Linked DNA regions of Drosophila melanogaster. The protein of the gene in region 4 interacts with the protein of the main gene of each other region in a pairwise test. Each region holds a gene or a part of one and is shown on either strand. Other genes may lie near its edges. The genes, in order: RAF2, Pgam5, CG15043 and CycJ.

The links.
Region 1: the proteins of CycJ (region 4) and RAF2 interact in a two-hybrid assay, tested with the Drosophila melanogaster proteins (one large-scale study listed by BioGRID).
Region 2: the proteins of CycJ (region 4) and Pgam5 interact in a two-hybrid assay, tested with the Drosophila melanogaster proteins (one large-scale study listed by BioGRID).
Region 3: the proteins of CycJ (region 4) and CG15043 interact in a two-hybrid assay, tested with the Drosophila melanogaster proteins (one large-scale study listed by BioGRID).

The regions. Positions count from the first base shown.
Region 1 is NT_037436.4:16,383,751-16,391,945, forward strand, and holds RAF2 (RING-associated factor 2), read left to right. Parts: upstream 1-2,576; 5' UTR 2,577-2,820; intron 2,821-2,875; 5' UTR 2,876-2,886; coding exon 2,887-3,206; intron 3,207-3,270; coding exon 3,271-5,598; intron 5,599-5,654; coding exon 5,655-5,870; intron 5,871-5,928; coding exon 5,929-6,127; intron 6,128-6,185; coding exon 6,186-6,434; intron 6,435-6,551; coding exon 6,552-6,593; 3' UTR 6,594-7,066; downstream 7,067-8,195. Other genes in the region: Agpat3 (1-Acylglycerol-3-phosphate O-acyltransferase 3), read right to left, coding at 1-116, 177-363, 1,678-1,704; CG44836 (uncharacterized protein), read right to left, coding at 7,372-7,602, 7,727-7,867.
Region 2 is NC_004354.4:1,870,669-1,875,351, reverse strand, and holds Pgam5 (phosphoglycerate mutase 5), read left to right. Parts: upstream 1-1,786; 5' UTR 1,787-1,821; coding exon 1,822-2,379; intron 2,380-2,445; coding exon 2,446-2,757; 3' UTR 2,758-2,952; downstream 2,953-4,683. Other genes in the region: Vps26 (vacuolar protein sorting 26), read right to left, coding at 1-991, 1,071-1,214; CG14803 (uncharacterized protein), read right to left, coding at 3,001-4,683. UniProt on the Drosophila melanogaster protein: Displays phosphatase activity for serine/threonine residues, and dephosphorylates and activates Pk92B kinase. Has apparently no phosphoglycerate mutase activity.
Region 3 is NC_004354.4:18,491,972-18,496,655, forward strand, and holds CG15043 (uncharacterized protein), read right to left. Parts: upstream 2,198-4,684; 5' UTR 2,112-2,197; coding exon 1,877-2,111; intron 1,804-1,876; coding exon 1,547-1,803; 3' UTR 1,222-1,546; downstream 1-1,221. Other genes in the region: Pgant7 (polypeptide N-Acetylgalactosaminyltransferase 7), read right to left, coding at 4,438-4,684.
Region 4 is NT_037436.4:3,463,771-3,469,085, reverse strand, and holds CycJ (cyclin J), read right to left. Parts: upstream 2,659-5,315; 5' UTR 2,548-2,658; coding exon 2,464-2,547; intron 2,401-2,463; coding exon 2,214-2,400; intron 2,137-2,213; coding exon 1,714-2,136; intron 1,661-1,713; coding exon 1,194-1,660; 3' UTR 988-1,193; downstream 1-987. Other genes in the region: CG14971 (uncharacterized protein), read left to right, coding at 1-305; armi (armitage), read right to left, coding at 2,854-3,177, 3,234-4,037, 4,107-5,069, 5,127-5,315.

The DNA.
Region 1 (8,195 bases), about 13 Mb from region 4:
TTTATGGTTCATGATCAGAAGGACGTGTTCCTTGCCGGCATGCTTCTCGAAGTCCTCCTTGTCCATGTAGACAGTCATCTTGCTGCCGGCATACCAATCGGACACGAAGATAAGTTCTAAGGGATTGGAGGTATTATGTTTCTACTTCGAATCGGAACTGGTCAGGATATACTCACGGGAGTAAAGCGAATAGCAGGCATAGTACATCAACTTGCGGAAGAGTCGCTTGTCTATGGGCTTGATAAAGACGTGCATCAGCAGCTGGATAAAGTTGATGCACAGCCCGCTGGTAAAGAAGGTGAGCGCGATGCACAGGTGTATCAGTCTCAATTGTTTCAGCTTCTCCAGGGAACCCATTTTGATCTGCAAATAGCGATGTTTAACCAATAAAACGGCTGTCTTTACGTAATCACTACTTTAATTGTAGGTTGTTCTCCCGGTAGTGCTCGTAAACCCGCACTTTATGGTCCCAACGGTGGAACACCTAGTTTATGACCACTACACAAGGTCCCGCACTCACACAAGAGCTGCGTTTTCTTCAATTAAAAGCACGCGGCCAAGTTAAAAGAAATCGTGAAATCCGGGAAGGCAACCACCTGCACCACCAGCTGGCAATGGACTGGGGCAACCGCCGCACGGCAGAGATATTCGCCAGATATCAGCGGGAGCTATAGCCCATAGCCCTATAGGCTATAGCTTTTGCTAAGGCCGCTGCCGGAGGAGGAATCTAATCAGCCTTGGCCAATCGATGACTTCTCCGTTGGAAATAGCTACAGCCGCTGTGGACAAAGTCCGCCTGTCCGACGGATAGTCATTATGGGGCAGATACTCGCACTTCACAGTGGAAGCTCGCGAAAGTCAATAATCTTTAGAATGAGTGGGTTTATGGGGACCAAAGTGTGCAAACAGTTTAGCAAAAAATTGATGACAGTTAGGTGTCATTTTTTACATTTTGTACATGGAGATGTTTTAAAAAAGTACTAAAGTTTTACGACCGTTTTAATTATGAGTAAAAACGACAACTTTAAAACTTTAAACTAATTAAATCATTTCATTAAGGCGTTTAGCTATTCATATTTCTTATTAAATAATACTTGGCTTCGGATATTTTAGATATTTCAATTTAAGCAAATTTAAATAAGTTTCGAAACGATTTTCGGATTTTAAATAAACTAAAGTAATAGGTATTATATATTGAGATTATTATTTAAATGATCATGATTTACTTAAATTATGATTTAAAACATGTCAGCGGATAAAGTTTATCAAAGAAGTTTTTATTTGTATTTCTACAAAGTTATAAACAATGGTTGTAAAACGACCAATGATAAAGGTCAATCTTTTGTTTTGACACGTAATATAAAACTGGGACTGCATATATTTACATGCACAATGGAACGCACTACGTTTTTGTAATAGAAATGAATGCATTCAGTTGACAAGCACTGCTTTTTTTAAATTTCTTATTTCTTCCTATGATAATGGGATTTAAATCCAATGAAAAAAGGAGTACTTTTCATGCCATTTCTTATGCACACCGCCATTAGCTGAATCAACCGAAAATTCGCCGGGCCGAATTGATTGTATTTTTGATGCACTCAATTGGTGACCCCGACGTTGATTGCTGAACCCATTGTATTGAATTAGTTTACTTTTTCGATCGTCCACTTTACATACAACAAAAGAGTTCTTGTGCACGACCATGCGATTGTGTGCGTGTGAGCATGCATATACGTATGCATGTGCTCAGCTGGCGCACGTGTGCGAGTGTGTGTGTTTGGGAGAGGCGTGGGGTGGCGTGACGTGGTTAACATTTATGGTTATCAGTTCGCGATCTGCAAGGCAATAGCCACCCACAAACGATCAATAAACAAAGTCCTATTTAAAGGTATGTCTATCTGCAGCTGCGCCGTTCTTATCGGTTATTCCCTGTTACGCATATGCACATATATATACAGACACTGTCGGTCGTGCCCTTTGTTTACGAGTGTCACTGGGCGGGAATCGGTTGCTAAACACTGGTCACTACTATATGGTTATCACTCGGCGGCGTCGTGCCCGCCATTTACCTTTTTGGCAATGTTTTTGTGCGAATTGATTTGTTTTCTTTTGTAAGCCAAACGGTATGACCGTTCGAGTGCAATGACGATGACACCGGTGAACAAACGGAAAATCGCCACTTTTGCCTTTAGTATTTTTCAATATTTAATATTTGCCACCAGGGCTGTCAGGTTGCAATGTTGTAAAGGAAATCTGAATAATTTGGCTAACGATCTGCACTACAACTTATAGCTTATTAATGATTGATTTTTGATCTACGCTAACTTTTCCATAAATCAAAAAATGAAACTCTAGTGAGTAACTTATTCTAATATAGTTATTTGGTTTTTAGATATGAAATGACCGAATACCCCGAAACTAGTAATATTTAATAAGATTACTAGATTACTTTAATTTAATAAGATTAAAAATTTGTTTGCTTGGTTTACCTAACTAAGAACTAGTTGGAAGAACATATTTTATTCAGTATTATTTAAAGACTTTCCCAAAAGTGGTTACCCTATTGGTTTGCGTCCATACTAAATGCCTGTCAAAATTATTCGCAGAATTGAACGGCGAATTTTTTTTCGCATTTGGAAATTGGATTTTTGCTGAAAGTAAACGCTTTAAAACTGGTATAAACCCGAATTAGCCTATTTGGGGACTTGGGCCATTGTTTTAAGTGGTTTTCAGCAACTGAAAAGGTGAGCCCGTCGGCGGATTAGAATATTCAACCGGCAGACGATTTTTTGTTGGCCAAAAATTTGCAGACGTGAGCGCGTGAGTTTTTGAGGGGGTTAATGCCAAAAGATGTACATACCTGACCGTCGTCCAGTTGCAGGCCTAATGTCCAACGAGATCTACGACTCCTCCAATTCGCAGCTAAGTAGCGACGAGTATAGCCACGAGGAGGAGGAATACGACGCTCTAATGGACGCGGCGGTGAGCAAGCAACGACCCCAAAAGACAAAATCCAAGGGATCCGAGTCCGAGAAACCCGGAAATGGAGCTCCAGAATCGGCGGCTGCCACTGAGAAAAATGAAAAGCCAGATGACGATGCGGTGCCACCTTCCACGCGCTCAGAAACAATTCGGCGGATCCGGCAATTGCAGTTACAGCGTGGCAGGCTGCCCAATCTTTACTTCAAGCGTCGCAGTATTCGTTGGTAAGGCTTACTTCCCAAAGAACCTACTGAAACTGTAATCCTATCTTATCCGATCACACTTCAGGCTGCGACCCAATAAAATGGACTACAACAGCTATTTTGACGGCCTGAAGGACTTGCTGCCCAAGCGTAAATTGAAGCACCTGGTTCGCTTCCATGACAGGCAGCGCAGAACCTACGACAGCAGGAGCATCAGTCGTAGTCGCAGCCACAGCCGCAGTCTTAGCCGAAGTTGCAGTCGCAGTCGTAGTCGTAGCTATTCTCGCAGCCGCAGCGGCAGTGGTTCGCCGGAACTCATTTGCCTTGACGACACGGAGAACGAGGATTCGCCTGAGAAACCAGAGCAAGAGCCGGCAAGGGTTACGCCCATCAAGGAAAATAAGCCTACGCTTCCGGCTCCACCCCAACTAAACTACGAGCTGCCAGAAAGGAAGAAAGCAAACCCACTTGGAAACAACGAAAACGGTGCCTCTATCCTCGACGAGTTCCTGGTAAAGAAGGATCCCCAGGAACCGGTCTTCGACTACGGTAAACTCTCAGCGTGTCGGGAATTGGAACAGGCTCTAAAGGACCGGTCGCGAGATGCGCCAAATGAGGCAGAGTCGCTTGTGGTTGATGCCACTCTTAAAAGACGCCGTTCGGTAACACCGCCCGCTAGCGAAGAGAAGCGCAACAATGAAGTCGAGGATGATAATATAATTGGGTTTTCAACGGTGCAGCAACAGAAGCCAATGGAGGCAGCTCCACCATTAAATCTAAGAATGCCCACCACTCCATCGACTAATCCTCTTCAGCGTCAGCAGGCTTTTAAGCTGAGCACACCGTATACCCTGGCTCCGCCTACTGCCGCCAAGCAAGCTGACACTTACAGTTTAAATACTCCACCGCCAACGGCCACCCAAATGCAGATATCCTATCCCAACGAAAAGCTGTCAAATAACATGAAAGCTAATGCGACTTTCTCGATTCAACAGACAGCTTTATCCCAAGTCGCTGCATCCTATGCTGCTGCACCACAAGTGGCTGCCCTCGCGCAGAGAGCTCCATCTCAGGTTGCTCCACTACAACAAGCCCCCGTGCAACAGATGCACTTCCCAAGATCAGTTCCACCGCAGCAGCTTCCTCCACCACAGCAGCGAGCTCCTCCACAGCAACTGGCTACAGCTCCATTCGCTCCACCACGGCACCTGGCTCAACATAGACCATCTCCACAGCAGCTAGCTCCATCACAGCAGCTGGCTCCACCACACCAGCTAGCTCCACCACACCAGCTAGCTCCACCACAGCAGCGAGCTCCGCCACAGCAGCTAGCTCCACCACACCAGCTAGCTCCACCACACCAGCTAGCTCCACCACAGCAGCGAGCTCCGCCACAGCAGCTAGCTCCGCCACAGCAGCTAGCTCCACCACAGCAGCTAGCTCCACCACAGCAGCTAGCTCCACCACAGCAGCTAGCTCCACCACAGCAGCGAGCTCCGCCACAGCAGCGAGCTCCGCCACAGCAGCTGGCTCCGCCACAACAGCGAGCTCCCACACAGCATATGGCTCCACCACAACATATGGCTCCGCCACAGCAGCTAGCTCCAACACAGCAGCTAGCTCCTCCACCACAGCAGCTAGCGCCTCGACCACAGCAGCTAGCTCCTCCACCACAGCAACTAGCTCCTCCACCACAGCAGCTAGCTCCTCCACCACAGCAGCCAGATTCATCAAGACCAGCTTCGGTGCAGCCGTTGACCCCTCAAAGGCATGCTAGTCCACATCAGCTTGCCCAATCACAGCAGGTCCATCAATCGCCATCTCAACTGCATCCTGTTCCAGTGGCTGCTCCCAACTTTGCGGTGCCCCAACAGCCGCAACCCCGTCGATCGGAAACGGTGAGCACCCAGACGCAGGGCTTGGGGTCACCAGCGGCTTCTTCTTCGACAACCCGCCAAAAGTCATTCGTTGATCTCAATAATAGTGATGCAAACTTCCATTATCGCGTCAAAGAACTTTTCGATGAATTGAACTCGACAATGATTGATAAAATTAACTCGGTACCCCCTGATGAAGATTCATTGAAAAAAGAGCGCGAACGCATCGTTGCGGATCTTGCAGCCCTAGATAAGCTGATGGCCCAGAAAGAGGATGAATATAACCGACTGCTGTATTTGAGCTGCATTAAGAAGGAGCTGCATGAACGAATGGAGCGAAAGGAGCGCTTGATACGTATTAAGGACCTACTGCCCATCCTTATCAACAAGTGCGGCACCAAGGAGCTCAGTGAGGTAAAGGCTATGCTAGAAGAGGAAATCGATTCTCCAATGGCCTCCAAACATAGTTTGTCGGCAATTGAAAAATTACTGAATTACGCCGAGTTAAACCAGAACATCATACAGCTTCTGCGGGGGTAAATCTTTAAATGTTTAATTCTGAGAATCCCAAGTTAAAATTGATCGTTTTCAGTTCCTTGGGCTTAAATAAACGCGCACCGTCCGTGTCTCCGGCCAATTTCGAGGATGACCAAATGCTTTTTCGTAGAGATTCCTTGCCCGTAAGTCATCTATCAATGCGGGATCAGCATTACGAATCTCGGAATGCGGTAAATGACCATCTGCTAGATAGCAATCCAGACAGAGATCCGCCAGCCAAGCGACCGAAGCTAATCCACTCGCAAGACAGGTGAGAAAATACAAATAATATACTAGAACATATTATTTTAACGTCATATAATTTATAGTAACCAGGACATGGCAAGCTCCTCGACACATTTGTCAGCCAATCTTTCAGAGACGCTTCGCAAGATTAGGGCTTGGAAAAATTATTCGCATTTTAGTAACGTCTCAATGGAGGACAATAATTCGGATAATGAATCACAGATCGAACCGCTGTTCAACAGCAGTCCGATGGCCTCCCGTCGCCAACTGGCCAATAGACAGGTATGCACTTAATCACAATATTTTTTGACATTCCGCGAAAATAAATGTTTCTATTCAGTCCTACCAAGAACAACATTCCGCTAATATCAACGACCATGAGAATGTCCAAAAGAGGCACAAGTCTCACAAGCGCAAGTCGCATAAGCACAAGTCTCACAAGCATAGGAGCTCCCATAAGTCCCAGGCTGAATCTTCCGCCACCATCAACGGTAACACAGGTAGACAATGCCACGAGTGCAAGCTCTATGGAGCCACCTTTATGTGCTCCAACTGTCAGAATCAATGGTACTGCAGTCGTGAATGCCAGGTAAGCATTGTAGGATTTATTATGTATTTTATGCATTTTTTTAAATTGTTTTATCCAGTGACGCATTGAAGGAAAAGTACTCATGTTTACCTATCTTTTATAATACATTCGTTATAGCTGAGCGATTGGGACACACATCACCGAACTTGTGGCATTTAAATAGACTTCACTTAGGACATCAGCATTACTAAAACATAACTATATAGACGTATCGCATATGCACTACTATATATTTACTCAACCGTGTAACTCACTGAAGGACACAGGACACTGGCGGACCATTTTCAATTGCGTTTTATTGAATTAAGTGCTTGCAATTGTACTCAATCAATGAAGCACAATTTAAAGTGTAATATGCCTAGCTATTATAAGTTGGTAGGGATTAAATATAATAATTATAATTCCTTAATAATTGATTCCAATTTGCTTATGAACAACGCGCGAAATTCATTTTGTTTCAAAATCGTATTGATAAAATGTTCCTCGTTTTCCCACTTTTTTTGTTTGAAAATTAAATATCCTTGACTTCTTGTTTGCTACATAAAAGATATCTATTTAAGAATTAATATATTTATTTTCTGTTTCTTTGGATGTAATTCCATGCTAAAGGCAAAATAAACAAGTTCATATTTATTTACAAGCACTTATTATTTAATTTTTGGGAAGACTATTGAACCAAAAAGTATTAGTTCAACAAAATAAAGAAAATGATGAGACGTTTTAATACAATAATAGAAAGTGTTTTAAAATTGGTACTTATAAAATATAAAATTTTACCGTTTGCAGAACTGGTTGGCTTGGTCTATCGATAAATGGCGCCAAGTTTATTGTTCAAATTTCAAACAGAATTTTCTGTGAAATTCGACTAAACTTTGATAACATATAATTCGTATAATGGAATTTTTTCAGATCATTTAGGGCTTTGCCATCGCCTCATTTATTTACTGCGCCTGCGCACCTGGCACATCAGTTTGATGTCATTTATATGCAGCCGGAGTGGCTGCCTCCTGGACCACGGACCACGTCTCAGTTTCCGGATGCGCAGCTGCCGGCTGCAGTAGAGCCGGAATTTCAGATTCGGATTCCAGACGGCACCGGCCGAGGCGGAGGGCGTGACGCACTTGTAGGCATATTGCCACCATAATCGAATGCTCTGCTTGGTGCTGTGCTGGAATCGAAAGGGGATTGGATTCAATAAGTGTGGAAGGGTGTGTGTTTGTGTGTGGGGATGGCAGTAGTAAACATTATGGTGCACCCTAAAAGAAGGTATCCAACGGGGGAAACACACTCACCATGTAGACGGGCAAGACGTAGAAACGCTTGCACTCGCGCCGAACGAAATTGAAGGCGATGGGGCGGCGGTACGTCGATGACACCTTGGTCAGGTGCGAACGGATCGCACTGGCGCTGGTGGAGCGCTGCAGACGCTGGAGCTGCAAAATGGGAATGGAAATAGGCGCGCGCACGTAATTAGTTTTTCCAAACAATTGAGCACATTTCGAGAACACAAATTAATATGCGAAAAATGTTTGCGAAGAGTTCGCGCCAAATTTGGCTTGCAAATGATTCGAATCGCGCTGCGTTTCAGCTGAATTATGGCCCATAACTGTGTGTACTCGGTACTATATTATTGTACTTAAACTAGACACCTGGCTGTTGAAAACAATGCTAACTATGCCAGTAGAATTTGTATGGGGTATTTCTATTTTATTCGTATTTAAGCGGTGTTCGAAGAGAATAAAAACGCCCTTTTAATGTTTT
Region 2 (4,683 bases), on a different chromosome or scaffold from region 4:
CCATTTGCTGTTGGCTGAACTCCTGGTTGGGGCTCTCCCTGGTAAACAGACCCATCTTGGACTCAGATCCTGCAGTGCCCGGCGCTGTCGGTGCTCCTCCCACCTCTCCGCTGTCCGTGCTCGAGCTGATCAGCGAGTGAGCCACTGTGGGCGCAGCAGGACCGCTGACCAGGTGCGGCGGAGCGTGCAGGGGAACGTGTTGGTGCTGCTGTTGCTGGTGCTGCTGAGCGCCATGGTAACGCGGTTTGTCTGCCTTGCGCCACAGCGTGATCTCCTGTTGTTTGAAGTAGCGCCGGTCCTCGGTGTCCATCAGCACAAGGTTGAGGAAATACTTGACTGAGAACTTCTTGTTAATGTCCCGCATGGTCGGCGTGAGATTGTAGCCAGCAAGAAAGACCCGGATGGGTATGCTCTCGCCTTTGACGGGCGCTCCGTCCATGATCTCGTACTTGGCAATCGTTTCGTTTTCGTTAAACATGGTGGGGCCCGTGCCCGTGCTCTCCTTCTTGATGATCGCAATCTCCATGTGCTTGATCTTAATGCGCACCAACAGGAAGTAGATCTTGCCGATAATCGTGTCCCGCAGGTGGTACTTGCTTTTGTTATACTCGAATTCGATGTGCAGGCAGTCTTCGATGCCTACCTCCATCTTGATGGGGTTGTTCATCTCCGGGTAGCTGCACAGTGTGTGCACGGCGATGTCGACCTCCTTCGTTATGTCGCTGATCCGCCTGACGATGGTTGCGCGCAGGAAGTACCGCAACCGCACGTTCGAGCCGGCGTACACCTCGAATTGCTTCTCCACTTTGGGGAAATCGAATGGATAGCTGTTGTTCTGGATGAGATCGCCCGGGCGGGCCAGGGCCTTCGCTAGACACTTGAATTCGTGGTGGTTACCCCGGTCGTAGTACAGTTCGATCTGGCCAATGAATTCGATCTTAATGCCCTGGTGCTCCAGCTTGCTGCCCGGCTTCTTGAGGGTCACGTTCACCTGGATGAAAAGGGGGTGGATATGGGTTTATCTCTGGTTATGCTTGGGGGAACTCCCCCCGATGCTGACCACGACGCACCTTGCCGGATACCGTCTCCCCGTCGTAGAATAGCAGCATCTTCTCCACTTTGCCGTCCTCCCCTTTAACCTCTGCCGTCTTGTGCTCAGCTCCATCAAAGACTATCTCAATGTCCGCTGACTGGCCGAATCCCAGGAAATTCATAATTGATAAACGTCGAATCGGCTTCTTCTTCTTCCGTTTCTTATTGCCCCCGCCTCTGCTTCTTGCTGCTCCGATGGAATGTCGACGCTGTGACTCCTGTTGGCGGCTTTTCCTAGAGATATCTTTCTGATAACCCCTTCAATAAACCTCAGCTTTGATAGGCGTTTTTCTGCGGCCTTTTTACGTCCTTCGTTCCGATGCTGGCGTATCTGTCGCGTCTGTGTGTGTGAAATGAAAAAAATTGCAATTTTTCACACTACGGCGTTGCCATATCGCGTCAACCTGATTGTTATTAAGGAGTGCCAGCGCTGGTACTTTTCAGTATTCAGTATTTGCATGGTATTTCTTTAAGAAACACATACGGAATAATTAACGAAACAATTGATTGTGGATCCTTAATTTTCTTGGTATACAATAATTGTGTAAATATATTTCGTATTTTTGATTCATCTTGGTAACTTTTCGATAGTTGAATTCTAAATGGTCTTGCGCGGTATTTATATACCCGCTAACCTAGTATGTCAAATACCAAATCGCAGTATTTAAATACCGCACTTATTCAGCGGAACAAAACTAAAATTAAAGAAAATACCTAAAAGCCCTAACGATGCGAAAGTTGACTAGCTTCGTGTGCGGCACAGGAGCCGGACTGGCGGCTTACTACCTACAGCGGCTGCGGGACCCGCAGACGGTCGTGCAGAACTCGTGGACGCACAGTGATAAGCCGGTGGATCCGTGGGCCCTTTGGGACACCAACTGGGATTGCCGGGAGCCACGGGCCCTCGTGCGTCCACTGCGAAACAGCCAGCCGGAGGAGGAGAACCGCTACAACGCGGAGCTTGAGAAGGCGAAGGCCAAGAAGGCGCGCCACATTATCCTAGTGCGGCATGGCGAGTATCTGGACGTGGGTGACTCGGATGACACGCATCATCTCACGGAGCGCGGCCGCAAGCAGGCGGAGTTTACTGGGAAACGGCTCTGCGAGCTGGGCATCAAGTGGGACAAGGTAGTAGCCTCCACAATGGTGCGGGCCCAGGAGACTTCCGATATTATTCTCAAGCAGATCGATTTCGAAAAAGAGAAAGTGGTGAACTGTGCCTTCCTGCGTGAAGGAGCGCCTATTCCGCCCCAGCCGCCAGTCGGCCACTGGAAGCCGGAGGCATCTGTAAGTCAAGTCAAGGGTCAACCCAGTGCGTATTCCACATGATATTCGGCTTTCATTTCACTGCAGCAGTTCCTTCGCGACGGATCGCGCATAGAGGCCGGCTTTCGCCGATACTTCCACCGCGCCTATCCCGACCAAGAGAAGGAGAGCTATACCCTGATCGTGGGACACGGCAACGTGATCCGCTACTTTGTCTGCCGAGCCCTGCAGTTCCCCGCCGAGGGTTGGCTACGGATTAACATTAATCACGCTTCCATCACCTGGCTGACCATCAGTCCATCCGGCAACGTGTCCATCAAGTACCTGGGCGACTCCGGCTTTATGCCCGCCGAGCTGCTTACCAATCGCATACCGCGCGACGTCAAAAACGTGGTTTAGCCGTCTGTTTATAGAACTGCCCAAAGGAGAAGCAATCATAATGTATTTATTTCCAACACTTTAACTGAGACCTTGAGCACAGATCGCGAGACTGTGTAAACCACCATGTACATTTTGCCGCACCGTAACGTATATCTCTTAAGGAGGAATCATTGAATCTTCCGACTGAAATAATAAAGATTTTATAGAATGCCTAACATTTTATTGAGAATCCTTATATGTACAAAAGAAGCCATGAGGAGCCTAAACCCTGCTCAAGACCTTTTGGAGTCGCTGCAAGCACTTGCGTATGCCCACATCTTCTCCAGCGCCGCGTTTTAGCTCCACCTGCTCTGCCTGCTCCCTTATAAAGGATAGGATGGGAGCCACTAGATCCGGCGCCAGCTCTGCCAGGTTGATCAGCATCTGGAAGTAAAAGTAAGTGCAGTGGGCCAGGTGCTTTTCGGCGAGGGATCGCAAGTGATTGGAGCACATATCCCTGACCGCCTGTGATCGCTTGTAGGCATCGTGCGATATAAGCACTTTATAAAGTCCAAACACTTGGTTGCGACTGAGGTCCACTTCGTCCACGAACATTACGTGTTCCAGCAGCGGGATGTGCACGCCGCGCAAAACGGTTAGCAGCTGTTCTTCCTGCTCTTTGCCAGTGCTCTCTATCAGTTGCTGCATTATAGTGATCACCAAGCCCGCATGCTGTCCTGCCCTCCGCCGCTGGACCACCAAAAACTGGGTAACGAGGAGCTGAAGCACAAACTGCGCCAGCTCTCCATCTACATCCGCCTGGAGGAGGGTGGCATATGGACGGGCCACCAGCTTGGCGTTGGATGAGAAGCTAAAGTGCGGCGTCCAGTGCTGAACTAGTTGCTCCAAAGTCTTGGCCACGTATGCGTCCGTGCGGTAAGGCAGTCGACCAATGCCTTGCAGCAACACTGGGAAAATCTTGTGAACCACTTGTGGAAGGCGACCTTCGGGCGGCACTCCTGCCTGCAACTGCGTGGTGAGCAGGAACCGCACCATGGCCAGGTGGAAGAAGCAGCTCGGCTTGGATCGCACGTACGCTAGAGTGGAACAATTATAGATGACAATGGCTAGGAAGCTGTAGAACCGGGAACCGAGTTCCGATCGGCTTCGATCCGGGGGTAGCCATAGCTCGAAATGATTTACATAGGCATGCAGTTTGTGGCTCAACTGCATACGGACGTGGGCAGCAGCCTCCTCTTGCTGGGCACGCCTTCCCAGAGCTCCAAAGAAGGCGCAGAGAGGCTCGCGCCCGCCCTCCAAAGAGGTGGGATCAATGGCCAGAAGTCGGAACTCCTCTAGCTGTGTGACATGGGGCATTAAAGCCAATACAGATTCGTGTTGTGCGTTTAGGAGGACCAGAGACTTCACCCAGACCTGAAGAATGGTGGAGCTGGCAGGTCGCCCTCCGTCTTCCAACACCTGGAGCAACAACTGAGCAGAAGCAGCCATATTGATGGGTTCTGGTCCCTGCAGGAAGCCCAGTAGCAGTTTGTCCCCATTATTCTCCAGGGCGATGAAGTTAGCCGCTAGCTTTGGAAGCCATGAGCTATGGCTACTAACGTATTGGGTCCTCACCAGTGGCATTATGTGCTGTTGAAGTGCCTCCTTGATGCCACTCGCATTGCCAGCCACAGCTCTCCGCTCGCTGAGACGGAGGATTAAATTGTGAAGCGTCTGCCATACGCGATCCTGCGATGCCTGCCCACACTTTTCGACGTAATGTGCCAGCCATGGCCCGAGAAGCTGCTGCTCGCCGCGGTTGAAGTCATCCGCCAGATTAAAGATGGCTTGAAGGCTGCCCACATAAATGGCGCCCACCTCTGCATCATTGCGAATGGTGGCCAACTGGTTGAGCAGCTTGCTCACATAGTCATCCATAGATAGGCGATGCTGGGCATGCAGAAG
Region 3 (4,684 bases), on a different chromosome or scaffold from region 4:
ACTATTCGAACGCTTTTTGAATTTTGGCTGGTACTGGCGACCGCCTCCGGCTTTTATACATGCTTCCTTATCGGCGGTCACTACGTCGATAAGACGGCCCGACACAACTGAACGATAAGCCCCCGGGGGAATTGGCTGTGGCAATTTCGGCAAACGCCTTTATAAAACCACATCGACTAATTGGCCATAATGCTGCGATCAGTTCCTATAAATAGGACACTCGAGCTTACACCGCTGGGAAATGGATTGGATTGGATGGGCATATGATGGGATATGATGGGAACACTTGTTATTTGATTGGACGATTGGACGGACTGCGTACAAGAAGCATTAACTTAATGTGCTATCGTAGTTCAATCTATTAGTAAGCGGCTAGATAGTATGTTGTTGATTTTTATTTTTATTTTTTTTATGACAACCCACCCAATAATAAAACCAGTGATAGGAAGCACCACCTTACTGGATAAAGGAAATGTTTCCTCCGCCGTTGAATGACGATCTGTGATGGCGCGTGTTTGTTTGTTTATTTGTTCCACGACAATCTTAGCCTTGATATGCATAATGGCGCACAATGGCAAACAATCTAATAAACAAATAACCGTATCTACAAAGTCAATTGACTGTCTACGCAACATGGTCATAGATACTATATTCATACATATCTATATATACCACATCGATTCTGGACTGACGTACTTACCACCAGAGAAAGTCCCCCCAATAGTTGAATGAAGACAGATACTCAGATACTCAGATGCCCAGCTATATGATAAATACCCAATTGAATCGCAAAGTCTTGGGAGTTTGGCCATTGTTCGTTCTCATCCAAAACGTGATTCATTCGGTTGGGAATTCCTTCTAAAAATCCAGCCAGATAGGGGGAAAGTTCAATAACGTCAGTAGAACAAAAACTTCATGCGTCTCACTCTTTCGCAGACAAATCCCTGGATGATTTGCCGCCTTGGTTTCACCTTCCATGCCAAACGGAGCCGCAATCGGAATCCACAGCGGATTCAGGTGAGTGGCTGTCCCAGATTTATGGCAATGGCTATCATCGGTTTCGAGTGGAAGGCGCGTGAGCAACGAACCATTTGAAATTGATCAAGATTACCGAATACCCTGGGGATGGTGATATATGATCTCTACCATTACCGACTTTTCAGCTTTGCAATACATTCGACATTCGATCGTACACAGTGAAAGACGTACATGTATATCTTTGGATCTACACATTCTTCGTTAAAAATGAAATTTTTTAATTAGAGGAACAGGTCCGAATTTGATTTATCATATAACTCAATTAACAGAGTGACTGATAGTACAAACATATATGATCTAATTGCATATTTACGATTAAACATATGACAGCATATAAACTTTATCCCATCAATGAAATGAAATTAATTACGTAAATCTAGATAATTGCAGGTGCTGCAATCATTTTAGTCTGCCATTATACATATGTATTTAAAATTGGAGTCACATTTAAAAAAAAAAAAAAATATATATATATATAAAGCTAGCGAGGAACTAATGCAAATGCCTCCTAGTTGACTCCGTAGTAGAGAGCCTGGTATGAGAAGTTCTTGGTGTTCTTGGCCTCCAGCACGATGGAGATCAAGCTCTGGCCGATGCCTCCGGCGACCACGTAGGCGGTGCCCTCGTTGGTGTCCTGGGTGCAGAGCAGCTCCACGTAGGATACAGTGGCACCCTTGCCGTTCTCCGGATAGGTAAGCTGCAGGCTCACATCTTGCGCCCGTGGGAATTCGTAAGTGTTGGCTGTCTGGGCCACCAGTTCGTCGCCTGAAAGTATGCCAGATTGCGGGATCAGTGATTGGTGGTCGGTCAAACGTAGGGTATGCTTTGGGTAACTTACCCGGAATGCGGGCTCCCATGTTGTAGCGCACGGTCTGGCTTCCGACGCGGGCCTTGGCCGGCACAATTTCCTTCTCCATCTGCTGGATCTGCAGACCCGGGTATTGGGCGGCAAAGACATGGATATTATCCACCACTTGGATGCCGGTGGTATCCACACGTATTGTTCCAGCCGCTCCACCGGACACAAGACAGCCCAGCAGGGCGGACAACAGGATGAGGCTAAACTTGGACATCTTGGGCGTTGAATTGAAATTCGAGGTAAACGAAGTGTGTGGACTAAGGGTCTCCAGTCACGGCACGTTGAAGTCACGGAATGATGGCCAAGGTCTGGAAACCACCTATTTATACCGCCCACTGTTTTTCTTTGAATCATATTAGGTACCCCCTTATCAGGCCCATTGCCAATTTCAAGTGGCAAGTGACAATGTCTAATCCAATACCGGAAAAAGAGTCACACCGACGCTGGAACTGCTCTACTTCTCGTTCAGAAATGAAACTCTTGTATTGAATTAGAGCTTAGAGGATAAATAAATGAGTTATTGGGCTTTTTTTTATATCTAGCACCTTACAGTGCAGCGACCCCACGGAAGTGTAACCATAATAATGCTGATAAGGAAGCTTCCCACTTCACTCAATTAAATTGAACAATTTCGGTGTTATTGCGCTCGGATCCAATCATCCCCCTTTCGCCCCGCCGGCAGCTGCGATGGTGTACCAATGGGCGGAAGATAAGACCACGACTCCCACTTTGGGAGTACGACCTTTCCTATCCGACGGTAAACAAACAATCTTTTTTTTTTCCTCAGGCCCTGATTAGCCAAAAACTAACTCTAGGCGCAATCTATTGCCCCAGGATTGACACCTGCTGGCGTCCCCCTGTTGGACTTCCCTCCCCCTTCCTCGCGCTTTTAGACTTCCCTACCCGCGATGGAGGAAAGAACTTCCCGGAATCTTATCGCCCGTGGACTTCCCTGGAAGTGGGACGTCGAGTACCTTCGAGACGAATCGACCCATCATCACCACTCCCAATCAACGCGGCCATCGATAATTGTAGATTTGATTTAACAATAAGTTATGAATCATCTGCTTAAAATTGGATTTACTCGCCATTCTATGCGTACACTTAAAGAATTGGCGGGGCATTAATGGTGCACCTACGTCAAAAGAATATAAAATTAAAAGAAATTTTAAAAACTTTCGAAAAATGCGAACTTGTTCTGTGCACTTAGGTTTCAAATTGTGAGCACATCTTGAGATGGGAACTTTATTATATCTATTGATTTATAAATGGATCGACCCTTCCCCACAATATTAAACATTCAACAGCTCGGCTTACATGGTAAAGTGTTTAGAAAACGTTTTTATTTCTATGCTATTATTCAGACTTATCGATAACTCTAAAGTTACACATGAATGTAAAATATTGTTTTCAAAAATCAAACTCCCGAAGCACTTGCAACGATCAATTACGATTACGACTACCTGGTACAGAGAGCTTTACGAAAATCAAGAGTTTAAAAAAAAATAATGGGATTAGTAGTAAGAGAGCCGAGCTTCGCTGCAGACTCGATTGGTTCGGTTCGGATTGGATTGGATTGGAATTAGAATAGATTATAATGGATTAGATTGGAATGTGGCAGCGTTGAAACTAAGCTAGGATTAGTTGGACTTGCAGGAGTATAGACTAAGGTTAGTACATTCATTTTTTCAGTTGGCAATCATAAAGCAAAACAATCTGCGGCCCTGTCATCGCGTCCCGTTCCCGTTTCATAAATCCTCTATTGCACTCGACTCGCCATCCCGCCATCGCGCTATCTCGCTCTTATTCGCTTCCGCTCTATACCCATCGCATTCTCTCACTCATACGCAAGGACACACACACACGAGGTCGGCACGGAAATCCCCCAGGCTTGGATCCTCCCAAATATCAATTGAATATCTATTGTATGAGATTCGCCGATCGAAATGGGAATGGGTTCACTATCAGCTAATTGTGATGATTTTCGTACGCTCTGCACTAAGTGCATTTTGTGGAGTTTGATCTTTCGTGACAAAAGTGGAAAACAGTTTTCAAGTACGACTACTACTAACACACACACACGATTTTGAAAATTGCATTCACTTCATGCACTACAAATATGGTCTAAAAGCAATTGTTCTAATGCTTACATGGAAATACAATTGTTCGCGATTCCTTACGACATTGTTTTACAAAATCGAAATTCTTAAGCTTTAATAATTTAATAATATCCTTGTGGATTTATTTATTCGCCGAGCATTGAATGCCCTTGTCTGAATCCCGGTTGCCCAGGCGATTTCCAAGTGCCGACAGTGCATATGTACATACAGTTCGCGTCATAAATGCAGATGTGTGTGATATCTTGTGTTTTTCGTGTGTATATCAATACTTATATGCGTTACAAAACCAACAACAATTCCATTTCTCATTTTCACTAAATTGCTTTTGTCTAAAATATCGCCCCCGTTGCCCCGGCTGAAACCCTTGTGATCCATTCCTTGATCCTCCTCCTCCTGCTGCTCCTCCCAAACATGCTGGACTTACCAGCGTGGGCGTATCTCCTTGAACCACCACTGCTGGTAGCTATCGTTAACATCGCAGTGACCCAATGACAATTGCTGCGTGGCCGGATGCAGGGCCATGCATTTCTTGTGGACGCGATGCATCAGGTGCTTCGTGTGCTCGTTGTACTGCCAAGGACCGTCGACTGTCCCCAGACGACACACGGCCAGTTTGATGCCCTGCCGATCGGCCTCCACGCAGCGCTCGCCGACGCCCAACTGGCCA
Region 4 (5,315 bases):
ACATTGGCTTGATCATTTGCCTGGCTGGTATCGTTTGCCACCTACTGCACAAGTACTCCAATATGAAGGAGATGCAGCGGCAGCAGGAGTTGCAGCTCGATAACGACCAGGAGGAGTCGTCGCCAGGGGAGTACAAATTCAACGATGGCAGTGCCATTGTGGGTGTCCATGTGAAGTCGCACTCCACGCTGACGGTGCCATTGCTGGAGCAAACCGACTCGGAGGACGAGTCTGGTGCAAGCAACAAACAGAACGCCTCCGATGTGATCTTCGACGTGCTGAAGCGACGCGACATGCAGCGATGAAAGCCAATCCTTGTACAGATGTCCTGTAAATGTTGTAAATTCAAACTACTTTTATGTTTACCAGCACCTTGGCCCACGCAACTACTTACTACACTGGGATTAGCAATGCATGTTTAAGTAAGCTAGTTAGTTTGACACTCTTCATTCCTTCCGTCACCGATTCCCTCAACTTCCTCGATGCATTCCCGCCTTGTGCATTTAGGGGCTAGGCTAGATATATGAGACGTACGTCAAATTGAAGTGTAAAGAGTAACATCCATGTTTAAGTTGATTCGATTGTAACGACACGAAATCTAAGGAACGAAGAGTATTCTTTGGACAATCAATTAACTTCTAATAGCAGTTAGTTTTAATCTTTTTGCATTTGTGAAGCTGAAAATGTATTGAGAACTGTCCAAAGTTTGCTTGAGTTCCGAAATCTATCTCGTTTCTTTTTTGTAAAAACTCGATCTTAAGTCATACAACCTATGTAAAAATAAGAAAGCCTTAATGACCCTTTCATTGTTCCTTAACTGACATCTTTAATTTGGCATTCCAAATTGAATTGTAAACCCTTATAGTTATAAGAATTTTTAATTTGAAAGCTCCCGCAAACGTCTGATTAAATTAAACAAGGGGCATTGTTCTTTAGCGAATTATAAATAATGTCTTCGTTGTTTTTAGTTAATGCATCATTTTTGTTGAGTTTTTGACATATTGTATTTATAAGTTTATAAGATAATTTCAAATATATATTAAATACATATATATTAAAGCATAACATCACGATTATTATATGGGTGAGGTTCAACTCAATTGAACAAGACCATATCTACGTTATGGATGTCATTTCACTTCTAAGCTATTTGGATTTCCTCCAAATGGTAATAGTTTCGTTTTTCCCTTTTACTAATCTTTGGCTACACTCTCCACTTTGGCGTGTTTCAATGGGTGCTGGTTTTCGGTATCGTCTTCAAAGCGCGATCGCTTCAAATTCGTTTGCTCTTTGGGAAGGAAAGTCGATGAATGTGGAGATGGATCCTGCAGCTGCACGGTAATTATGTTGTAGGTCTCTACTGTGACCACTTCATCGGAGACCACCAGGTTTGTGTTCTCAGTGAAGGACTCCTCGAATCCGGAATCGGGACTGGCTAAACTCTGGTTGGTCTGAACAGAGGGACTACCGTAGTCGGTCTGAATAACATGGTAATAATAATAGTCGGTCAGAACGTTCATGTACGGCTCGACATTCGCCTCAGTATAGGAGGTCAGTCCAACTAGGTACTCCGACCAGCGCCTGACCCCGCTGACCTGGCGAACTGCAGCAATGCAGGCGGCAGCCAAAAGGGATGGCAGATCGTTGGCAAATCTGGAAACTGAATGAGTGTTAAGTGGTATCCAATACCTTCCATGGGAATTCGATACTCACTGTACAATGTATAATCCGCCATGCGAAGGAGCAACTGCGCCAAAATGGACAGCATCTCTTCGAAGCTTATATATCGCTGGTACGGCTGGGTGTGATGGTTCCGCTCGTACTCATCCAACATCTCGATGTAGTTCTTGAAATCGGAGCGAGTGAGAAAACTGCAGGCGAAGAGCTCCACAAAACTGGCGGTGGTGGGACGTATTAGCTCGAAGTTCAGGAAGCACAGGATCTTCCTTTCCACAGCCTTGTACTCGAATGCCGTATAGGCGTTCTTGACCAATCGGTTCATTTCGCTGTAGCGCGGAATAAACGCATCCGTGTTTTCGATCTGCGCAGCTATATGAAGACAAGTGATGGCCACCAGGAGCAATTTGTCCGGACGGATTTTGTAGTAATCAACAAAGCGATCCATATAGTAGACGGCTGGAGTGAAACGAGTTACAATGAGTTGTGCACATGGGTTTTGTGCCTGCAGCGAGGCTCCTCTGTACAGTGCTCACCCAGGTGCAAAGCACAGCGACTAAGCTTGTGGGCGCTGGTCGCCAGTTTGAGCAACTGCAGCATTCTTCGGCGCTCGTTCAGCTGCGGCGAAAGGTAAAACAAAGGCCGACGGCTGAGTTCTTGCTCCCTCATGGTCAAAAATATATCCCGGGCATAGTCGGTGAGCCAGTGCGTCTTAGCCAGGCGCTACAAATTGGTATTTAACGAAATAAAGTCGGGTTCGCAAAAGTTAAGCACATGTCCGTTCACCTCGACATCTGCTTGCGGGCAAGTTTTCTTCAATTTGCGGTCGACGACGAAGATGTTCTGCTCGGCAGCCACTTTCTGCTCCATTGTATCGAAATTGAATGCAATGCCTTAAATCACCGATTTTAAGGCAAGAACTTAACGGCGGAAAAAAGCAAAACAAATGAAGGAGAAAACAAAAGGAGCGCAAACATGGCGCTACAACGGTTCCGGCCAGTGCTACCACACTGCGAAGCCAAACGAGCAGCGTTCCCAGACTGCGCTTGGGAGTGTTACCATTCGCTAAAATTAGCACATATGTACAAATATTTAAAACAAGTTTAATGATTAATTGTGTTACTTTAATTCATCAATAACAAGTGTTTTAATTTAATAATAAACTGTCATATGTGCTTAGTTCAAATCATCTGTAGTATTCAGTGAAGGCACGAATGTTTCCAAGCAAACGGGGACCTCATCTTTCTGATTTATCACCATTTGAGGCAGATCACAGCCAAAATAGGCGTTATTTTTGACACAGAACAGGATTAGCTGGCGCCAGCATTCGTCGACGGCCAGAAGATGGGGATTCCCGAAGATGATCATCATGGCACGTGCTCGGGAAACGGCCACGTTAAGTCGCTTGCTGCAACGCACGAATCCCAAGGAGAAGCGGGCATCCATGCGCAGGATCTCTTCTGATGAACGCACCGTGGATATTAGTATAATGTCTCGTTCCTGGAAATAACAAACGTTAAGTGTGCACGTAATATCGATTTTAGTTCCGACCCCACCTGTCCCTGAAACTCCTCGACGGATCCAATCTTCGGCATGACCACGTCGGTGCCAATGAACATACTCCGAAGCATCTTCACCTGCTTCTGATAGGGCGTGATTATACCGATCTGATCGGCAGTCACATTGGCACGGTACAGGGCGATGGTCATTAGGAACACCTCCCTGACCTCTTGGGGATTGAACCAGGAAGGGGAATCGTTATTTTGCCTGTTTTCGCCAATGATTCCGTAAAAGAACGTGCCGTGCGCTTGAGGGATATCCTTTTCTGACTCAAATACACACCGCAGTTTACTTAGTAGGCGAGATTCCCTTGAATCCTTTTCGGAAAGAACTGGGATCAGTTCGTCATCGTAGAATAGCCTGCTATAAATGCTCATAATCGACGGTAATGCTCGGTAATTGTACAACAATTTGGTTAGCACTAGTGGATTGTAGCCGGAGCTTTCGGGAAATCGCTGAAGATCTTTTCGATACGGCGACCGTTCCAGCAATCTCTCCAGAAAGGATATGGAAAATCCCATTTTCGAGGCAATTCGACTGGTGACAATAGACTGCAGCTGGCGAGGATCACCTGAGAGAACAACTTGAGAGCGTTTCTTCGTTAGCATTACAATGGGTACCATTGTTTCTGGTTCGGTGCATTGACCAGCTTCATCGAACAGCACGTGAGTGAAATGGCCCGCTGGAAACCCCAATTGTAAAAAGTTTCCCAAAGTAGTGCAGGTGGAGATGGTAATGCGATGAGTACCTATAAACTTAGCTTGACAGCGAAGCTTCAATCCCGATTCGGTGACCATCATCTATAGCAAATATCAACAAAGCCAAGATTAATTGGTGTCCAATCCAAATGATAAAATTTTTCTACTCACTTTGTCCTCGCAACTGCCCACAGCACCGACATCACTTGTGGCGCAGTAGCTCATTATTTCCGGAGGAATCAAGTCTTTCTCCACTTGATTGTACGAAACGAGGCGAATGAAATCTCCCTGGAGCAAAGCTTTGCTATCGATGAGCCTCTTTGTCACCAAATCCGCTGAGCTGTTCGACGGCGTTCCCACCAAGATTCGGGCACCAGGCAGATTCCTAACCAACTGGAGTAGTGTCTCAATAAGTGTCATTGTTTTTCCACTGCCCGGAGGCCCAAACAGCACATAAGGAATGTTCTCCGCTTCACCGCGCAGTATATTGAAAACAGCACGTTTTTGGATGGAATTAAGCGACTGATTATACCACTCTAATTTCGAATCGTACAAGTACATGTCGTCATCCTTCATATAAACATCCAGCTGGGGATTCTCGCGCTTGGTTACTTTGCTGGGAAACAAGAAATCCTCGCCCATTACTCCTACAATTTTGGAGATGGCATGGTGTTGCTTGCGAAAACTGTAGCGTGAGAAATAGAACTCTAGTCGATAGTCCTCGCCATTATATTTCTCCTGGAAACTGGAATGGAATTTGAGTAAAATGCGATCGAAGAGCACCTTATGGATAATGCCCTCGTATGACTTGGTGGTCTGGGAATCGGGATCCGACCAGGGATTAATGACTCGCAGTGTATCGCCAATGACCAGCGACGGTCGACGCTCGGCTAGATTCTCGATCTGCAGCGTGAGGAACTCTCCGTCACGCAGAAAGTGTGCTCGGTCTCTGTCGTAGTTGCGAAAGTTGACGAAGCACTCGATCTCCTCGAGGTGTAGGAGCAATCTGAAACGGTGCATATAGGTTTTAATGCTTAGGGGTTCCGTGAGGAATGAATAGTGCTGCTCGATGGCCTTGATCATCTCTTGTCGCCGTTCACTAGTCAAACAAATTTGGCGCAATTCTTTGGGCACCTTAAAAGAACGGTAGTATTAAAAATAAGCATATTTTTTAATGAGAGGACTCCTTACTTCAAAGCAACCCAAACGCAGAGCAACAAATCTGCGCTTGGTAACAATTTGTTGTCCCGGGATTACATCCACCTTGTTGCACCAAACTTGGTTGGCATAGAACCGGGACCTCTCCTGGCTGTTACGACCGGGTGCCATCAAAGCTTCAGCTGCTATCATACGTTTCTCAGCTTCAGCGACTTCCTCCTT